3 linked regions of the Nothobranchius furzeri genome follow. The protein of the gene in region 1 interacts with the protein of each later gene in a biochemical or structural test. Links are inferred from orthologs where the notes say so. Each region holds a gene or a part of one and is shown in the gene's direction. Other genes may lie near its edges. The genes, in order: siah2l, dlst and rbbp8.

What was found.
Region 2: the proteins of siah2l (region 1) and dlst form a complex in vitro, tested with the Homo sapiens proteins (2 studies listed by BioGRID, with this or other methods). The link is inferred for Nothobranchius furzeri from reciprocal best matches to the Homo sapiens genes SIAH2 and DLST.
Region 3: the proteins of siah2l (region 1) and rbbp8 form a complex in vitro, tested with the Homo sapiens proteins (2 studies listed by BioGRID). The link is inferred for Nothobranchius furzeri from reciprocal best matches to the Homo sapiens genes SIAH2 and RBBP8.

The regions. Positions count from the first base shown.
Region 1 is NC_091750.1:26,755,733-26,759,382, forward strand, and holds part of siah2l (E3 ubiquitin-protein ligase Siah2), read left to right. Parts: intron 1-1,173; coding exon 1,174-1,353; intron 1,354-3,650. UniProt on the Homo sapiens protein: E3 ubiquitin-protein ligase that mediates ubiquitination and subsequent proteasomal degradation of target proteins.
Region 2 is NC_091758.1:32,793,824-32,797,473, forward strand, and holds part of dlst (dihydrolipoyllysine-residue succinyltransferase component of 2-oxoglutarate dehydrogenase complex, mitochondrial), read left to right. Parts: intron 1-364; coding exon 365-495; intron 496-2,561; coding exon 2,562-2,635; intron 2,636-2,706; coding exon 2,707-2,790; intron 2,791-2,881; coding exon 2,882-3,049; intron 3,050-3,241; coding exon 3,242-3,376; 3' UTR 3,377-3,650. UniProt on the Homo sapiens protein: Dihydrolipoamide succinyltransferase (E2) component of the 2-oxoglutarate dehydrogenase complex. The 2-oxoglutarate dehydrogenase complex catalyzes the overall conversion of 2-oxoglutarate to succinyl-CoA and CO(2).
Region 3 is NC_091747.1:41,227,071-41,231,245, reverse strand, and holds the start of rbbp8 (DNA endonuclease RBBP8), read left to right. Parts: upstream 1-1,335; 5' UTR 1,336-1,426; exon of another isoform or gene 1,427-1,484; intron 1,485-1,681; 5' UTR 1,682-1,701; coding exon 1,702-1,801; intron 1,802-1,887; coding exon 1,888-1,930; intron 1,931-2,014; coding exon 2,015-2,110; intron 2,111-2,836; coding exon 2,837-2,928; intron 2,929-3,095; coding exon 3,096-3,168; intron 3,169-4,042; coding exon 4,043-4,175. UniProt on the Homo sapiens protein: Endonuclease that cooperates with the MRE11-RAD50-NBN (MRN) complex in DNA-end resection, the first step of double-strand break (DSB) repair through the homologous recombination (HR) pathway.

The DNA.
Region 1 (3,650 bases):
TTGAAAGTGTAGCAGAGAGCGAGGCATGATGTACTGTAGCTTGTAGCTTAGCGACAACAGAACTGATGGCATCACATGCACTTTCAGCAATGGCTGAAGGTGGAATATAAACGTTTGCCAAGACAACACTGGTGAACTCTCTTGGCAAATAATATGGGCGACAACTTACTGCCTAGTGTTCAACATCTGGGCTGCAGAGACGACATTTCACTGAAACATGACCTGGATGGCACCATCTGTTGTTGAAAAGCACTGCCACTCCACCTCGTTTTCTTTTCCTGCTCCTCTACAGATCTCCGTCTGCTCGTACCATCAGGAATCCTGGCAGAGAGACGCTGGAATCGGGTATATGGTCCTGCAGTCATGTCTCAGTGAAACACATAACACTGCACTGCCGATACTCTGGCTGAGTCCTTGAAAGGGCTTGGAGTTCATCCATCTTGTTGGCCAGTGATCTCACATTTTCCATTACGATCGATGGAAGAGATGGTTTGAATTTCCTCTTTATCTCCGTTTTGCTCCCGCTCTTCACCCACGCTTCTTGCGTTTTAGCTCATTTGGGATTTGTGGCTTCAGTTGAGGTATTATTTCAGCCTTTCCAATGATAATCCGCTGCTCCCGATTGTAAACCAGCTTGTTGCCATGGTTACACATAATAACAAATGCTCAAAAAGTGAAAAAATAGCAGTAAAAATCCTCCAAGCTTCACAGCACCAGAAACAGAAAAGTAAAATGTCCAAAAAAATAGTTTTTCTTGAGAAACTACAAGAAAATGGGAATAATATATATATTTAAACAAGACGGTTATTATTATTGTCAACTTTTTTACCGGGGTTTACCGCTACACCGGTTACCGTGACAACCCTAGTTATGAGTAACTAATAATTAGTCATCTTTATTAGTCACAAAAAACTATTCATGTTCATGGCTAACTAATAACTTGTCTTATTAATGAGAAATTAATAATAGTCTAGTTTTTTAGTAACTAAAAACTATTCCTGTTTATGAGTTTTAATAACTAGCCCTGTTCATGGCTAACTAATAATTAACGTTAGTTCATTTTTATAGCAGCAGTCGGAACATCTCAGGTTAAATAGAAGCTCAGGAGGAAGTCTGAACGTTTTTATCTTGGAGTGTTGCTGAAGCTGCTCCGTCTTTTCCATCCTGCTGCAGTATTCATCAGCCGGCTGCCAGCTGTCGCTCCACCACAGCGAGAAACCTGACCATGAGGAGGTTTGTGAGTTCAGACCCTACACCTGTCCGTGTCCCGGAGCAACGTGCAAGTGGCACGGCTCACTGGAGGCCGTCATGCCTCACCTGATGCACGCCCACAAGTCCATCACCACACTACAGGTCAGAACCCTCAGCCCCCGACAGGACCTCTGACCCTGACTTCATGATTCTGTGTGTGAATCCTCTGACCAGGATTTCAGAATCCTGAACTTTGGTTACGTATTGTAACCCCAGATTCTATTAGTCTAGTTGCAGCCCTTAAGCTAGCTGCTATTGGAAGGATGATCTCAGCATCAGCCAATCATGAAGAGCTTAAATGTACGCCCACCAATGGTGGGCACCCCTTGTGGGTATATAAGTGGAGCAACTCCACTGTTCGCCTCCAATGGCTCTTAGTCCTAACAGAACCAGTGGGTACAGTGGCTTAAGGGCTGCAACTAGACTCATAGAATCTGGGGTTACAATACGTAACCAACGCTCTATTTCGTCTAGTCTTAGCCCTTAAGCTAGCTGCTATTGGAATAATGCGCAGCTAGATTGGTTTACGCCACACTGGTTAGCTCAACCAATGGACACACGCAACATGTCTCCTTTTAGTGAGGGACGCTCAGCCGCAGCCCAGGGCTTAAAAGCCTGAGGCAACCAGAGAGAAGAGTGGGGCCCCACTAAAATTATCATCCACAAGAGGATGAAATTCATTCAAGTAGGGCTGATGTGGTGCCATAATGCCTTCACTCAGCCTGCTGAGGTCCAAGCACTGAACAAGTGATGGAGCCTGAAGACACATCTCGTGAGTAATAACGAGTAAAGGAACAGGGAGAACCCCATGAAGCAGCCTGACAAATGTCTTCCATCGACACACCACTGTGGAGCGCCATAGAAGAGGAAATCTCAGGAGGATCCCGCCCTGATGATGTGTAAGCGAGTGAAATGGCGTCACAAAGCCAGTGTGAAAGACGCTGGGTCGACAGCGCTTGCCCAAGGGAAGAATCTCTGTAGTGCACAAACAGGCTTTGTGAGCAGCAAATCCCTGAAGTGCGTGACACATGTCGTGCGAGCGCGCGCACCGGGCAGAGAAGGTGGGAAGCCGCATCCTCATCAAAATTATGGGGAGGAGGAAAAAGTCCAGCCAATGAAATTGACCTGGATTTGAAGGAAGCATTAATGTTTTTGGGCACAAAGGCTGGGTTGGGGCATAAAACCGCAGACCCGCCATCTTCCCGGATCCTGAGGCATGCGGGAGCCACTGAGGGCGGTTAGGTCGCTCACTCTCTTGACTGATGCCAGCGCCAGCAGCAAGGCAGTTTTGAGTGACAGGAACTTGAGTGAGACCTGGTCCAAGGGTTCAAATGGGGCTTCAGATAAGCCACGCAGAACCACCGTTAGGTCCCACTGGGGAAATAGTGGGCGGGACACAGGTCTGTTCCTTCTGACACCTTTTAGAAAATGCTTTGTGAGGGGATGATTGAAAACAGATCTATCTCCAAAACCCTGGTGACAGGATGAGATAGATGCAGCATATGTTTTAATAGTGCTGAATGTGAGGCCCCTGTCCATCAGTATCTGCAGAAACAATAGGACATCCGCCAGCTGGCAGGAGAGCGCTTGAACATTTCGCTCCGTGCACCAGTTCTGGAAAGCTGCCCATTTAGCAGCATAAGATGCGACGGTAGGGGGCGCCCGCGCACTCTGAATCGTGGCCACCACATCATGCGGCAGCCCAGAAGCCTCTAAGCGTGACCGCTCAGCGGCCAGACCTACAGCCGTTGGCCTATTTCTGGAGGATGTTTGATTATCCCATCCGCCTGGAGAAGGGAGTCCGCCCTCCACGGGAGCCTCCACAGGGAGCCGGACACTAGCACTTGCAGGTCTGGAAAACATGACGCGGACAAGCGTCTGGGAGCCATCAGAATTACAGAGAGCTGCTCCGACCGAACTCGGTCCAGGAGACGGGGAATCAGTGGGACTGGCGGAAACGCATATAGGAGTGTTTGAGGCCAGGGCTGGTGTGAGAAGGCGTCCGCTCCGAGCGGGTGGTGGTTCCGGGGACTCAGGGAAAACCACAGGTGACACTGAGCATTTTCGCGAGCCGCGAACAGACCCACCAATGGTTCCCCAAACCTGATCCAGATCTGTGATATCAGTGCGGGATGCAGACGCCAGTCGGAGTCGTGGGGTCCCCCTCTCGACAGGATGTCTGCAGCTACATTCAGGACCCCCAGAATGTAGGTGGCTTTGATGGACAGCAGGTGGACATGTGACCAACACAGTAAATCTGTGGCTACACGCAATAGTGGGAGGGATCGAACTCCACCCGTGGCGATTTATGTAGGCTGCCGCCACCTGGTTGTCTGTGTGAACTTCGACATGACAGCCCTCGAGAAGGGCAGCGAAGTGACTGATCATATTCCTCACTG
Region 2 (3,650 bases), on another chromosome or scaffold:
CCCAATAAGATTTACAGGCTCTAGAAAGTGAAGATTTTTATCGCTTCTTCTCTCCTTTCTCGGAGAGTCTGTGTCTTGGGAGGGGCTAATTCCGTTAGCGGAGAAACCCTAGAACTTCAACAGGGTTAGAGACAGGAAAACAAACAATTAAAAAGAGAGATACAAGTGAAGAATGAGCAATACTGAAACAATTAGCAACCGTTTTTAATAGCTCTATTCCCCCACTATAGCTGTAGAGCCGTGATTTCATAGTTAACAAAAATATTTTTCTCAAGAGAATAATTTCAGCTCGTTGTTTCTTCCTGTTTAAAGCGTTTGAAAAGTGTTGATGGATTTCTGTGTTTTCCTGCTTTTATTCCTGCAGCAACATCACGGAGATGAGAAAGGTGTACAAGGATGCTTTCCTAAAAAAACACAACATCAAGCTGGGCTTCATGTCCGCATTCGTAAAGGCTGCTGCGTACGCTCTGACAGACCAACCTGCTGTCAATGCCGGTAAAGATTTTACCTCTGGAAACCTTCAACATGTTGGTGTTAGTTTTGGAACGTCTGCATGTGTGGCGTCAAGTCACGTCAAGTGTGTGTGTAGTGAAGAAAGTTTCAATGTATTATTTTTTAATTTCAGCAACCTCAAAGCCATCTCTAACTTATTTACTTCCTCTAGACCAGTGGTTCCTAACCTGGGGGTCCCCACCCCCACAAGGGGGCGCCAAAGCCTCTCAGTGGGTCGCCAGGGCCTCTCCACTTTAAGGGGTTAAAACGTCATTTATTACTTGTTTATAGCCCACATTTTGCTCACATTTTTTTTAATGAGTGAAAAGTTTACTGATATTAAGACAGGAAATAATTAGTACAGAAAAAGTAACACACTTTTAAGAACATTTTGCTCAGCTCACTGTTTTATTTTCAAGTGTCAAAAGTTCATTAAAGATAGGACTGGTTGATTAATCACAGCCTTTACAGTAAATAATCTAGTATAAACAGTATAGGGCTGCAGCTATCGAATATTTTTGTAATCGAGTACTCTATCGAATATTTTTTTCGATTAATCGAGTACTCTAATAAATTACCCTTTTGTATTTGTAAACCATTTTATCAAATAGCATGTTATAAAATATGAAAGACCTCTTAAAATGAGCAAGCTATTGCCAGTTATTCTTCAAGTTTTATTCAAAATTAGTTTTCAAAACTTCAGCACTTCAACTTTACTTCACAGTAAACAAATGGCTGTGCAAAAAATAAGTACACAACCTGAGCCGATTTTCCCCTCGTGCGAGAATCTGCTAGCCTGCAAGCCAGACAAAAACTAGGAGGATAACTGTTGAAGTAGCGCTGCGAGCGGCTGCGGCCCAAACAGAACCAGAACCGCTCACGGTGCATGCGCAAACAGCTCGCCGGCTGTTCCCTATTAACACACGTTCGTTTTAATTTCAACACTTTTTTCTCACACAATAACAAGGATTGTCGAGAAAGCGTGTTTGCCGTGGTTTTGTCAAATTATACTGATCACAAAACATTTATTTACTTTCTTTCGTTTTCCTCTCATAAATACCCATGTCCTCCTGCAGCAATCCCGAAGGACAACAAACATCAATAACACAATAAAAAGTCCGACGTTTTGTGTAAAAACTGCTATTTTTAGCACATTTTAAGTCCGACGTGTTGCTACCAGACGTACGGTGTGAGCTGAAACTGACTGCTACAAACGAAAAAGTCGCACAGTGTCCACAGAATATATAGAAAAACAGGCTAAAATGCATTATCTTGTAGAGGCTCCGAGTCCGCTTGCAGAAGAGACATTTACAGGTGCTGCAGCATGGAGGATGTGGTGTTGTGGTAGGCTTAATCCATTTTACAGTATTTACACTGGAGTACGTTTTCCGCCTAACGACGTGAAAAATGGTCCCACATCTTGACATTTTCTGTCTTTTTCGCACTCCACCGGGGTCCACGTTGTCCGCCATGGCTTAAGAGAAAGTTAAGTTACATTCGCTACTCGCGTGTGCAGTCCAGTGGGCATGTGCGTCACTTATTTCAGTCTGGGTGAAACATGACCACGGGCGACTGCAAAGCCACAAATTAATTAAATATGAATTAAACGAATCCTCGAGGCAGAGAATTTGACTCGAGGATTTTTTGTACTCGAATTATTCGAGGTACTCGAGGAATCGTTTCAGCCCTAAAACAGTAATATACACATTTAAGTACATTTTGCTCAGTGTATTTTTTATGTGTCAAACGTTTATTGGAAGAGAGAATGGGAGGGGGTCGTCAACAATTTTACTGGTAAAAAACGGGTCCCTTGGGAAAAAGGTTGGGAACCACTGCTCTAGACCACTCTGACCTATTTAGGTAGACCACAGTGAAGCTAGGGTGGTGCATGCTGATGCCTTTTAAAGATCTGAAATGCCCTGTGGGTTCACTTACCACAACTCTTAGCTTTGCATGTGACAGAAAGCGGTTCACAAGGAAAGAACTTGATCTTGCCAGAAATATAGTGGTGATTAATAGTCTAATCTGGAGAAGTTAAATCATAATAATCCTATTTTCTGTGTTTGTAGTGATTGATGATACAACCAAAGAGATTGTGTACAGGGACTATGTCGACATCAGTGTGGCTGTAGCTACACCGAAGGTAAGAAAAGTGGATTTCACTGAAAGGAAAAACAAAGAGCTAGAACGTTCGGCTATGTTCTCTTTTTCCAGGGTTTGGTGGTTCCCGTCATAAGAAATGTAGAGGGGATGAACTTTACTGACATCGAGAAAGCAATCAATTTGTTGGGAGAAAAGGTGATTATCGTATTAAAATTGTTTAAATTGTACACGTTTGCATGAAAAGTGATGAAATGTTTGCATAACTGGGTCTGGATGTTGTTTTTAGGCTCGTAAGAATGAGCTGGCTGTTGAAGACATGGACGGAGGCACCTTCACCATCAGCAACGGTGGTGTGTTTGGGTCCTTGTTCGGCACACCGATAATCAACCCTCCACAGTCTGCTATTCTGGGCATGCACGGGATCTTTGACAGACCGGTTGCAGTCGGAGGCAAGGTTTGTATCCTCTGGTCATTTGCTGAAACGTGTCTGCTTTTAAACAACTGTAGGTTTTACTCCATTATTTATGAGCAACCAGGCTACATTCTCAAGTAAACGGGGGGGGGTCACATTTAAATGTTGCATATGTTTACAAATTTAGCAAATAATTATTGGTCATTTTTCAGTGATTACTTTTCTTCCTCCTAGGTGGAGATCCGTCCCATGATGTATGTTGCGCTAACATACGACCACCGTCTGATCGATGGAAGAGAGGCTGTCACCTTCCTACGTAAGATCAAGTCGGTGGTGGAGGACCCCAGAGTGCTCCTCCTTGACATGTGAACCCTCGTCTGCTCCGGGCCCAACCAAACCACTTCCCACACCAACAGCGGCTGTGTAAACACTCAATGAACATTACCATAACTACAGTTGATGTATCGTCTTATTGGTTAACTAGGAAAATCTATTTCTGGCAACAGTTGGGTTGTGCAATGGACATTTGTAAGACTGGCAAGGATTAAAGGTTTGGTCCTGTTCTGGGTCTCTCTGAGGTTTCTGGTGCTGGTCGTTGGATCAAACAAGAAATTCTATAACTTATTTGCATTTGTCATTTTCT
Region 3 (4,175 bases), on another chromosome or scaffold:
CTCTTCCTCCTCCTCCTCCCTGCCAGCATCAGCACCTCTACAGCCTGCTGCGTATCTCACATCCCAGCTGCAAAGCCTCCAGGCACACCTTCTGTGGACTGTCATGCAGGTTTTATAGCTTAAACTCTGAAATGTAAAGGGAGTTTTGTTTTAGTTTTATAGTTTTGAAATGTCATTTGTTATGTTATTCTGGGGAAATATGTAAATGATGATGACTGCATGTGTGTTTATGTAAACACACACACTCGCACTAACGCTAGCTTGATCTACCTGCTGTGACAGATGCAAAGTCAACAAAAGGCGCACGTCCAAAGGAACAAAAGAGTAATAATCTATAATGCTGAATCATCAGTGACCATGACATCAATGTGAAAGAAGAAAAGTTTGTTCATGCAAAAATAAACCTGCATGTCGAAGAGCAGGTCAAACTCAACTTTTCCCTTGCTTTGCATTTAGATAACTGTTATTGTTTTTTAAGTGATGCAGTGTTTGCATTGTGTCTTACCTTTTTTATATTTCAGGAAAAAGACGGAGCTTTATGCTCGCGTCTCCGACCAACAACCATTCTGCGTTTTAGTTTAAATCAGTCTGTTTAATTTCTGGTCGCATTATTAAGAGTGTTTTTGTTTTTTAGTTGTTTCTCCTGATAGTCCGAAGCAGCTTCAGTTTGGTTGAGATAAATGTTGGAACCATTGTTTTATTTTTGGCCAGAAGTGTTATGGTAACAAGCAGAAAACGATATTTAAATTTGTTTGCACCTGCTTTAATGAGAATGAATGAGCAACAACAGTGTTGTTTATGTATTAGGAAATGTCTTAAGATAGAAACCATCAAAATGGTGCCATACAGTGCTACATGCTTAGCGTCTTAGACCGTGATGTCACTAGTCAGTTTGTATTTGTGTATCTGATACACTACATCATTAAATCACTGCTAAATGTTGATATATTAGGAACTGGAATGATTAAACTCAATTGTGAATAGCACTACTTAATGAAGGCACTAAGTCAATACAATTAAAGTCTCTTAACCTTTGACATCGCTCGCTGTCTTACCTCAAAGCTAACCCACCAATATCACTGTTTCAGACATGCTTCTCTATGTTGCCTCAGTCACCTCAATTAAATAATCTGTTTTGTAAATGTTATTTTGTGATTTTGGGTTATGTTTTGTACTCTAAAAAATAAAAGCAGAAATAAGAATAAAAAAACCACCTGTTTTATGTTACAGCAAATTGCATAAGTACCTCCCATCGACATTAATATTGTGGGGGCTTGGTACCTCCACGTTTAATGGGTACATTTACTCGGCTTGAACAGCAGGGGGCGACAGAGTCGCACATACACGAGAATGACGTCAAAAGAAGAAGGATTCCCATCATGCATTTCGGCGCGCAAATTTTGATCTTCGACAACAGCATTACTATGTAGGTTTTCAAATGTATCAGTTTGTCTGCTTTTAAGACTTTCTTTGAAGCATTTAGTGTACGTATTTGTGTTCTTTGTGCGTTACGTATGTTTACGTAACATTGTTTAGTTTTAGCGACAACGTAACAGCTGTGTGATGCCACAGGACGTTGTTTGTGTTTTAGTGTGAATAACTAGTTATATGTTGTGTGTTGTAGCTTATCAGCTGTTGAATGTTGTAAATTCCACCTCTAATGAAGATATTTCCGGTCTAGCCTGTTATCATCTATGGAGGATGAGCAGTCCGGGAGACAGCAGTGGGACAGTCAGACATGCTGATCTGTTTGAAGTTCTATGGAAACAGCTTGGAGAGTGTCATCAAAGCACAGTTCAAGGTAACTGAACTAATCTAATCGTGTTGATGCGTGTTTTAGTGGTTTTCGCACATGCCAACACTATTTGTGATTGTGACTGTTTGTAGAACTGGAGGCAAAAGTAAGCAAGTTAAAAAAGGACCGCTGCTTGTGAGTATCAGCTTTTGTTCACTAGTAGGGCACGCTTTCCCTCACTTTATTGTTTTGTTTCATTAAGTTGTTTTAATTATACAGAGATGCACAGAAGCTGGAGGTGTTCTATAATCGCAACCAACAGCTTAAGGAGCAAAATAAAACTCTGCAGGACACGATCGGTCTTCTGGAGGAAAGGTAAATGACTCAAACACACACTTGGGTCATCATCATCATGTTGACAACATTAATTGTACTTGGGACTGGTATGGATTTGTCTCAAGTGAATCATTTACAAACCAAGCAAACTAGAAAAATAAGAATTTTCCAGAAATGTGTGGCAGAGGTATTGTAGAGATTACCAGCTTCAATCTGGCCTCTCTCCAGGATCTGTGGGTCTCCAGGGACTTGAGGCACACTAGAGATTCACCTTGACTCCTCATACCCTGAAAATAACCTTTTCATGTGCTGCCCTGTAATCACAGACAACAGTCCACCAGAACCATTACCTCATGGCACAAGATCAGTTTCTTCCCATCAGCTATTGGACTATGGGCTGCATGGCGGCGCAGTGGTTAGCACTGTTGCCTCGCAGCACGAAGGTCGCAGGTTCGAAACTCGGCTGCGGCCTTTCTGCGTGGAGTTGCGTGTTCTCCCCATGCATGCGTGGGTTTCCTCCGCGTACTCCAGTTTCCCCCACAGATCACAACATGCCCTGTAGGTTATAAATTGTAAGTCGCTTTGGATAAAAGCGTCTGCTAAATAAATAAACATAAACATATTTGAACATTCCCTAGAAAATCCCAGAACCTGCTGATTTGTAATCTTCTGTTATAGCGTCCAGTTATAATCATGCATCTTTGTGTACTTTATTATAAGTAACTGTGTGTGTATCATTAGTGTTTTGGCGTTTACTGTCCCCAGACTCCGAGCAGCAGAGCGTGATCAGTGTGCTGTTTTTGAGGAGAAGCTGAAATCCAACCAGGAGCAGAACCTTCATATTGTCACAAAACTAAGTGAGTTTGTTCCGGTGATTAATCTGAGCTCTAGATTATTTGGTGTTAAAGAGTAAAGAGTTGTTTTTATGTGAGTGTTTCACACAGACCAGGGCAGCACAAGCTAAGATGTTTTTGGGCACAATCATGCTTTGTGAGAATTGTGTTTACGGTTTGTCTTCCTTCAGAAAATGAGAGAAACAGACTGGAGGAAGAAAACAGAAAGCTGTTGAATGAACTGCAACAGTTAAAATCAGCTCAGTAAGTTCTTCTTAAAAGTCTGATTAGATTTTTGGGTTGTTGTTGTTTCAAAATTATTACAAATGTTAACATTTTAGTTTCTTTTTTTTTTTTTTGCAGCCAGTGTTGCGTAAAACTTTTCAGATAGACACTGTTTCTCCTGGAGAGGTTTCACTTCTGGTTTACAAAAATGAACTCTTCTAAATTTGAAAGCTGACTATAATAAGTGCCGTGTTCCACTGAGGAGCTTTGCCTCAGAGACTTGTTCTGCATCAGCAGTGACGTTTCAGTTCCTGGTTTAGCTCTGTAGAGGGTGTGGAGAGCAAACAAGTATATAAATAATTCAGTTTGTATTTTAGTTAACTCCAATTACAAAAATAATGTAATAAAAACATAACACTATTAAAATTGTTTTGTCACATTTTACTCAAAGGTCTTAAAAGGTTAGAGCAACATAAGATGGCAGAATGAGGGCAAAACACACCTGCAGCACATGAGTCTTCATAAGCCTCGCGTATGCCTCTCTGGTGAGAGGTTATGTTTTTCTACACGGTTCTATTCCAGGCTCGGCTGTTCCATTTTATATTCACATACTCCTTGTTTGGGCCTCCAGGCTTGTTTATACTAGTGCTGCCTGTTTTTTTATGTGGCTGATTGTTCAGGTAGATTAAGTTTAATTAGCTGGTGTGTCCGTGGGTTTTATTCTAGAGCAGACGTAAGGCTGTGGTGATGAGCATTAAAGCAGTTCAGAGGAAATGTTTTTTGTCTCATAATTTATCCCTTCATCAGTTTGAATGACCAGTAAGCTGCTGCACTTTAGTGTTTCCCAACTCAGTCGGTAACGATTTCAGATTCCACCAAAATAATTGTGATGATGATTATTTTCCTAATCAAGCAGCCCTACTTCAGAGGTAGGAAGCCCGGAGCAGGAGGAAGGATTCATCCCAGACTCACCAGTCCTGCCAAGCTCACTTCCTGTCCCAAACAAGCTGAAGAAACGGAAACATGGTGATAAAGTGAAACACTTC